Linked DNA regions of Bombyx mori. The protein of the gene in region 1 interacts with the protein of each later gene in a pairwise test. Links are inferred from orthologs where the notes say so. Each region holds a gene or a part of one and is shown in the gene's direction. Other genes may lie near its edges.

Evidence for each region.
Region 2: the proteins of protein BCCIP homolog (region 1) and RpL23 interact in binary tests that used the Homo sapiens proteins (3 or more experiments, as listed by UniProt). The link is inferred for Bombyx mori from reciprocal best matches to the Homo sapiens genes BCCIP and RPL23.

The regions. Positions count from the first base shown.
Region 1 is NC_085132.1:4,573,046-4,577,365, forward strand, and holds the start of protein BCCIP homolog, read left to right. Parts: upstream 1-1,197; 5' UTR 1,198-1,658; coding exon 1,659-1,775; intron 1,776-2,368; coding exon 2,369-2,495; intron 2,496-2,689; coding exon 2,690-2,817; intron 2,818-3,226; coding exon 3,227-3,363; intron 3,364-4,074; coding exon 4,075-4,211; intron 4,212-4,320. UniProt on the Homo sapiens protein: During interphase, required for microtubule organizing and anchoring activities. During mitosis, required for the organization and stabilization of the spindle pole.
Region 2 is NC_085108.1:4,102,418-4,107,013, forward strand, and holds the start of RpL23 (ribosomal protein L23), read left to right. Parts: upstream 1-1,710; 5' UTR 1,711-1,731; coding exon 1,732-1,744; intron 1,745-1,930; coding exon 1,931-2,014; intron 2,015-2,790; coding exon 2,791-2,918; intron 2,919-4,596. Other genes in the region: proteasome subunit beta type-4, read right to left, coding at 387-523.

The DNA.
Region 1 (4,320 bases):
ATTTACTCTGTGTTTTCAAATAATTCAATATCAAATTTGGGTTACCAATAAAAAATACTGAATCCCATAAACATGACGAATTCAATCCCAGGATCACCTTGAGCCAAGAAGTCGACCAATTTCCATGCAATTAAATACATTAAAATTTATACAAGTAAACAACAGTATTGGCCTGTCCGACATAATTTGTAATTTTACAGTTATGTAAGACGTTTCTAAAACATTATTTAAATTGTTTAGGACGTAGGTAAACCTAGTTGAATCACAGTTGAATCTATTGACCTTCCATGATCTTAAAAATGGTGCTATTTTATTTCTGCATTGGGGGCATAACCTCCTACGAGAGGCGCGCGACGTATATGGGACTGGACGGTCCGTAGATATTAAGACAAGACTGCGGGCTCAAGATTGGTATATAAGGCCCTATTAACTTAGAGACTCCCCTGCACACTCGCCGAAGCGTCCGATCCCCCCGTTCGTGAAAGGCTGACGCAGGGCATGGAAGGGTCCCCAGTCCACCCTGCGTACGATCGCCGGGATCCACTCCAGTCTGCGACTCCGACACGACGACCGCACGACAGGATTTCACACTGGTTGGCGGGACAGCTTCCCGGGGCGGAGTTTAGTTGTGACACCTGTTAGTGGGTACATCCCTATTAAGAAGTGTGAGCTGTAGCACAACACTAGTATTTTTTTAATGTCAGTGGTTAGAAGAGTAGGTAGCATAAAAACACTATGGTCTCACGAAAATGTATAACAGTAAAAACAGTAGTGTCTTTAATAAATAATATTAATAAAAGGTTAGTTTCTCTCATCTGAGCATTTCTATATCCTTCAACACCCGGGTTCAGGTCCCCTACTGATCGGTGGACAGCGGCGAATACCGTTTCACTGGGTCTCCCTGTACCCCCGCCAACTTACCCCGTCACTTAGTAAGGTGGTTTAATAATTTGGTTATTCATTAATATATATATAAAATTTGCTCGAACAACAATATTTTCTTTTATTAATTTAACTAAATGTAGTTTTGTTTATTTTAAATGAAAACAACGCCTAAAAACGTAAATAACAGTTTATATTGCGTTTGCGTTTCGATATTTTTGGTCAAAAAATCTATCCAATGATTAATGGATCTCAGATCGCTTTCCTAGGCCGCCCGACCGCTCTCGTTAAATCACAAAGCTTAATACACTTAATGTCACCCAGCGACCTGTATACCTACCTATTTAGTGTTTCTTCAAGTTTAAATGTGTGATAACAGTGGTTTATGATGAATTGTTTAGTTATCTGTGAAAGTGCACAAATTTGGGAAAATAGAACAAAGCCGCTGGACGTAACTTCTCTGGGTCCTCCAAAAAGTCCTCTGGAAAATTTTCAGTAAATGGCTAGGCACCGTTTTACTGATATTATATTTCATTCCATTTCATTTAATTTCACTACTTATTTTTCATAAAAAAGATATATTATATTATAATAAAAGAATAAGCTGTATGGCATAATACTTTTGCCTTTCCAGTTGGATCAATAGAACTACTACTGTCATACAGCTAACAAAACCTTTCATTAAAAATAAGTGAATAAAAGTGCATTAATCTCATTTCATTTTCAACTTGTATAATATTTCTTTAATAACCTCCTCGTTTGTTTATTTTGCTAAAATGCCTAATAAAAAGAACAAGGAAATTGACACAAACAGCGAAAGCGAAAAGGAACAAGATTCAGGCAGCGAAAAAGATTCTGATTTTGATTCAGACGGCAACTATGTCGGTGAAAAAGTAAGCAAAACCATAACCTACAAAACACATGGCTCTTTGTTTCAATTAATCGTGTAATTAAATACAATCAACTAGATTATGTAAAATGGATAAATAAACTTAATGAAAATAAATGAGATTAGTACACAAATACTTTCTTGCAGATGCCCAGTAAACTTACAAATAAACTCAAATCATGTAATCACTATATTAAAGCATATGGCGTATTTTACTGCAGCATGTAACAGCAAAGCGGTTTCCAGTGACAAATGCTTTTCCCCACCCTTTTTCCAAACCAAATTGTGAAATTCAAAATTACTGAAAATTAAATTAAGATCGATGCCTCCAATGAACACTACTATAACTCCAAATTCGTAGGTTTACAAGAGGAGAGTTTAAACGAAAAAAGTTGATAAATATATCTGCAATAATAAAGATTTTATGGTTTTTTCTTGTGTAACTAGTTGATTTACTCTTGCTTCGAACCCCATTAATAATGAATATGTAATACTTTTAAAATAGTGAAGCGATTTGCGTGAAAAACGAAAATTTCAAAATTTTGAGTTAGAGTAGTGTTCATTGGAGGCATCGAGATATTCTTTTGCTATTTTCAGGAGCTACAGGCTGATTTCGAAGGACGTAACCCAGAAGATAGTGACTTCCACGGTATTAAGCAGCTACTGAGGCAACTGTTTCTGAAATCAAATGTTGACCTTGGAGGGCTAGCCCAAATTATTATATGTAAGACTTTTGTGACTTAATACAGAGCTTGTCAAATTACCAGAAAACTCTGTACCTATTCAATTCTAACCAAGAAAAAAAATTGCTTGTAAAATTTTAATTGTACTGGCTATAAAGTTTGAATTGTTTTTAAAAATAGTGAATAATCAATTGGATCATACAATTTATAATTTTACACTACTTTTTTTTGTCAGCACAAAATTACATAGGCAGTGTTGTGAAGCAATGTTTGGATGATGGTCAAGAGGATGACGATGATGAGGACGATGGTAGTGATGGAGTTTTTGGAGTAACTACAGTAGTGAATATTACTAAAAGAAAAGTAAGATTAATACAATGTTTTTATATTAAACATTTCAACTAACTTTAAAAAGTGATATTTACTCCTTAATAAAAGTTAATTTGAAATCAATTAAACAAATTTTTGTTGAGTTCCCAAACTATCAATATGTTTCAACTAAAATACCAATGAATAAAAAACTAACATGGGAAAAAAAACATTGAGAGGTAAAATGCTATTTGGTTTAAGCGACAATTTGCTTAATATGTGACATTTATATATATTTTTTTCCAAAGTTTAATCTCTAAATGGCTCTCCTGTAAAGTTGAAAAATGTCATTTAAACCAAATAGCCTTTCCTTATGTAGTGTACTTCTATTCTTTTGATATGTAAATATTCTTCTCTATATGTAGTGTTCTATCTAATTAATATAGTTCACTGACTATTTCAGAATGAACCCAGTGTGGCACAGATCAGAGAATTGCTTACAAAACTATCTCAGGAGAATGCAGATCCCAGAACCAAAGAATTAATTAAATATATTCTGGCTGATGATTCTCAGCATACTGGCCTAGTTATTAATGAAAGGTAAAAATTTTGGAGTATTCAGAATTTCATTGTTTTTTTTCTATAGACTAGATGATGACCGAGCTTTGCTCTTTTTTTTTTTTTATAATGCCATCTTGTTGTGTATTTAAAGCGGTTAGTTGCCCTCAATTAAGAAAAATAAGTTTGATTATCTGCCAATAGATGTGGGGAATAGTCATAAAGTTGATTATTGAAAACACGAATAAAAAAACATTTTCTGAAAATAAATCGTAGCTAGATCGATTTATCGCCCCCGAAATCCCCTGTATACTAAATTTTATGAAAATCGTTGTAGCCGTTTCCGAGATTCAGATTATATATATACAAGAATTGCTCGTTTAAAGGTATAAGATAAGGTAAGATATTTAATTCCCAAAACTTTTGATTCACTCAAGTGACTGTAACTATGAAGTGTCCCATGTTTTTTAGTTTTGAAAGCCATTACAATTAAGACTATCCTCATGTCCCATGATATAAGTAAGTTGTATATAGTATGATTTATTCTAATGCCTAACTACCTACACTGGGCAACCCACTAGCTTAACTGGCTGTATACAGATATATATGTATAAAATACTTATGTTTTATTTGTGTGAATATCTTATTGTCTCCAGAACTTCTGGAGAAATGGAGAAAATTATAATTGGGACTTTTAAAGTAGAAATGTTTAGTTTTTTTGCTACTTTTAAAAATAATTATTTTCTTTTCCAGAATACTAAACATTCCTGCAGCGATTAGCGTACCATTATTTGCATCACTACAGACTGAACTTGAGAAAGCTCATAGGAAAAATATGCTATACAACTTTAAATACCTTATTTGGATCAGTAAAACTTACACTACTGGAGGTTGGTTAGATTTTTCATTTTAGCACTCAAGACTAGCAACAAATTTTTTTTTATTGCTTAGTTCGGTGGACTAACTCATAGCTAAATCCACACAGCTCAAAACATATTT
Region 2 (4,596 bases), on another chromosome or scaffold:
TTTAAGAACATTGTACTTAATTATGATGTATATTTTTTAGAATTTTTTATTTATTTTGATAGGCATTAATGCATCAACTTATAATAAAAAATATTTTATAAATTAGGTAGGGGATCAAATGATTTTCCGAAATTCAAAATTTTATTTAAAGATTCGAAATATTTCGGCGTGTCACTACAAAAAGTAATTACATTTTCTATTTGTCTCGAAGTGAACTTACACTAGTCTGTAAATATCAAGTGGCTTTAGTTTGTTTTTATATTTTTAGGTTTTTTAGTAATGTGGATGGTCATACAAAGCGGTCTCTATAAAAAAAATTGTTAACATCTACAGCTACAGCAACTGCTGTTTATTCTGATAAGTTATGAACAATGATTAATACTTACTGAGCTGTAAAATCCTGTACACCGTGCCTGGATGGAGCAATTGTGGAAGCATTTCCAGGAAAATTATAAAATGCTCCAGGCGACGGTCCGTTTTGCCACAACGGCGTGGGGTTCATCGTGTCCCCCATAAAAGCCATTGTTATATTATTTTTAATACGAAGTTAAATATTGTTTCAGCTTATGAATTTATGTAGGTGTTTCAGTTATTCTTTTTGCCAGTTTTTGCAGAATGACAAGCGGCTATGATTTTGACATGTAGGTACTACATTAGGCAGTGTTGCATAAATTGAAAACCAAAATGGAAGTGATGGAAAAGACTGAGTTTTCGAAATTTTCACGTCAAGAAAATCACAAATCACTAGATAAACAAACGCTATACTAGCATAAAGTCAAAGCTATCTGTGGCTACTCTAGGCAATTATTTGTTATAATTAAGGAGCCAAACAAAATCAAAATTAGACTTTTACATGACAGACATTAAAACTTTAGGTATGATTAATTTTCATATACATAGCTCTTTCGAACATAATACATATTATGTTTAATAGAATTGATAGTATGATTTCACAAAGTGAAAATTTACAAATATGCAACGTACATTAATAAAAAGTAAAGTAATAAACCAAAATACCTAGCAACACTTGTTAATGACAATCATTTTTTTGTTACGATTTGTTTTACGCAGATTAATTGTTGATTATATTTTAATGTTATTTTTCTTGATTTATAATTTTTAATCTAAAAATAGTCTTGGAAATTCTATTGTATTTTAAATTAAAAATTCCAACAAGTACAAATAAAAAGTGAAAGTTAAAGTCCGCAGTTATAGTGTAGAGAACAAAAGTAAAGAGCTTAATCTCTGTGTCTGAAAAAGTATCCGTCGAAGACTTCGATCAATAATATTAATCAAGTCAAAGAGCAACCATAAAGTGGTACCGTACCTAACATCGCTGTAATTTAATTTCAGAGAAAACTTCGCTACGCAGCTTCACTCCGTATATTTTATTTATACAATTGATAATTGTTAAGGCACAACATGCACAAAGAACTTAATTTCGTTTAGAAATCAAGTAGGAATAAAAAAAGGTTTTAAAAGATTATTTGATTAAAATTACATCGCACAAACAAAAAAATTTCAGTTATGTGTTTCAGAAAATTTATTCAAATAGAACAAATTTTAATAGAAATTAATGTGACCATTTTGCTTTATAGATTGATAAGATCGCCTACAGTAAGTTACTAACTTCAAGACCTTCACTGACATTTTGATTTTTGAACGAGTACGACAACAAAAGTTACTAGCTTCACGTCCCTATTATTTCTTTCAAAATTTTGATACAACAAAATGTCTAAGAGAGGTTCGTGAAATTCTAAATTATCCGAGTAAATCGATTCAATCCATGTGATATTATAGTACACAATATGTACGAATCCATAACCATACGAAAACCATTGCTCGGAACCTTTATTTCGAAGTGATTCTATCTTATTGATTAGTTGGTGTTTTGGTGAAAATGTATAGTGTTATGTTTTTCTGTTTAAAGGACGTGGTGGTTCCGCGGGAGCGAAATTCCGTATCTCCCTGGGTCTCCCAGTGGGAGCAGTAATCAACTGCGCCGACAACACAGGTACTTTTAACTAATGTTATTGTGACGAACCTCACATAACCTAAAACCACACGATGCTCTGGGTTGTGCATCTAATGATGATACCTATCGGACACAAATTTGTGTTTTGATTCATAATGATAATCTTCCTTGGCTGTGTCTGAAGATGCTCGACCGATAATAATTAAATGCATAGTTTAAATGATCAAGTATTGATTGTCTTGAGAATTTACAACAATAATACGTCAGCGGTCGGGGAACTTTTTTGATTATTACCCCTAAATATTTTTGTGTAAGTTGATATTACCCCATGGCGAAGAACAAAAAAAAACGAAATCGCTTCTTTTTAGTATATTTCATATTAAAGCCCCATGATAATTTTGAAAAGAAAACAATAACTAAAAATTTAACGATTCTAAAGAAGTTTCACTTCAATATATACTTTTTATTCACAAAAGTTTCATTTTTACCCCCCAAAATTTCATTTTACCCCATTTGGGGTAATTTACCCCGGTTCCCCGACCGCTGATATAAGTAGAAAAATTATTGAAAATTATCATAAATATTTGAGAAGTGATAGTGTAAAATTTTTAATCTACCTTTTCGTGCTCTTTTCTCTGGTTACTCCTAGTAAATCTGAATAATATGAAGTACCTACAACTATTTTTTTTTTAAAAACTACCTTCAGTTTGTGACACTTTTTCGTTTAATACAAATTCTGCAAACATTATGAAGAAGAAGATGCCAAAAAGCCACGCATAAAGTGGTTTCATACTAATGTCTCTTAATTATTTCAGGGGCAAAGAATCTGTATGTGATCGCTGTCCAAGGTATCAAAGGTCGCCTGAACAGACTGCCGGCGGCCGGTTCCGGGGACATGATTGTGGCCACAGTCAAAAAGGGTAAACCTGAACTCCGGAAAAAGGTCAGTGTATATTAATTGTCTCATGAAAAGTTTTAAAGTATTTTCATCTTATTTCTGTTTCTAATTGTATAATAATATACAGTCAAAGTTTATATGAATAAAACTGTAGAAGGCTTTTACATACTGAAATGATATTTCTCTAAATATCCTAATCCTAATAAAGGCTTTCTAAAAAAATTATAATAAATAAACTTTTGAGTTCATTGTAATACATTATAAAGGATTATTGCTTAGTAATATTTCACTATAAGAGGAATTCCAATCAAGCTATTTTGGGCAAGAGACTGTTGTTCCAAAATTAATTGATACCCAGACTCCCATGGCCAAATTACTTTAAAATACCTATATTCAGTTTTTTTCTCATTGATACAAAATACTTATCAATTTAAAAACTAGTTAACTGAGTGTGTAAGTGGTTGATATCGACCCCTTTCAAATCCCTACTCTAGTATTTTGTAAGGCAATACAGATAGGACTAAAGTCAAACATATTTTTATAGCTTTGCATTCTGATTTGAAGAATGCTATATAAAACTATGTTTCAAGGTTTAAGCTGGTGTTTGCATTATGTCTAGACGTCAACAACTAGAAACACCAAACAAACACTGGATGGTACCATCCATTATCCTTTTGATTATGTTACAAATTTGAAACTATAAAATTGACATAAACAAATCCTGTTGTCTACTTCTATTAAGTCAAAACGCTTTTCAATCATTCTATAGCTATTTTGGTGATAGTAAAAGCTGGTTGTTGTAAATTAAAAATTTGTTGCTCATTAATACCTATCATATTTTATTTTGTTACAACAAAAACCAAGGGTAATGTGCTTATGTGACATGGTTCCAGCATAACCAAAGGTACCCCTGATATTTCTCATATTCATTGTGCTGATGGTGACCACTCACAAAAATACTGAATGAAAACGTTTTTTGTTTTATTCTCTACCCTAGGCTGTTAATGTTTTTTAAAATGGATTTAGAATTGACACATGTAATCAAACTCGGATGGAACACAATAGGAATCATGTTGGGTGTACATTCCAATCACGAAAATACTGAATGAAAATGTTTTTTGCTTTTTATTCTCTACCATAGGTTGTAAATATTTTTTTTAAATGGATTTGGAATTGACACCTGTAATCAAACTCAGATGGAACACGATAAGATGTTGGGTTTACATTCCACTCACGAAAATACTGAATGAATGTTTTTTAGTTTTTTATTATCTATGATAGGTTGTAAATGTTTTTTAAAATGGATTTGGAATTGGCACCTGTAATCAAACTCAGATGGAACACGATAAGAATCATGATGTATATAATATATATATATTTTTTTTAACAATCACGCCACGTTGACTGGCCCCGTGATAAGTTCGTAAAGAACTTGTGTTACAGGTACCAGATAACGGAAATAAATATAAGATTTTTATTATACACATACATAGTTAATATACATCCATAACCCTGGAAAAGACATTTATATTTATCATACAAATATCATCCTTTGGCGGGATTCGAACCCGCGACCCCCGTATGTAGTGACCATGTCACTTACCACTACACCAGACGGCCGTTTAAACTAAACTGAATTGCTATGATGATATGCCAGAGGTTTCGCTATTTTATTTCATCTGAAACATGTTATGCTGAAACACCTTGGCTGACTGAGCATTTC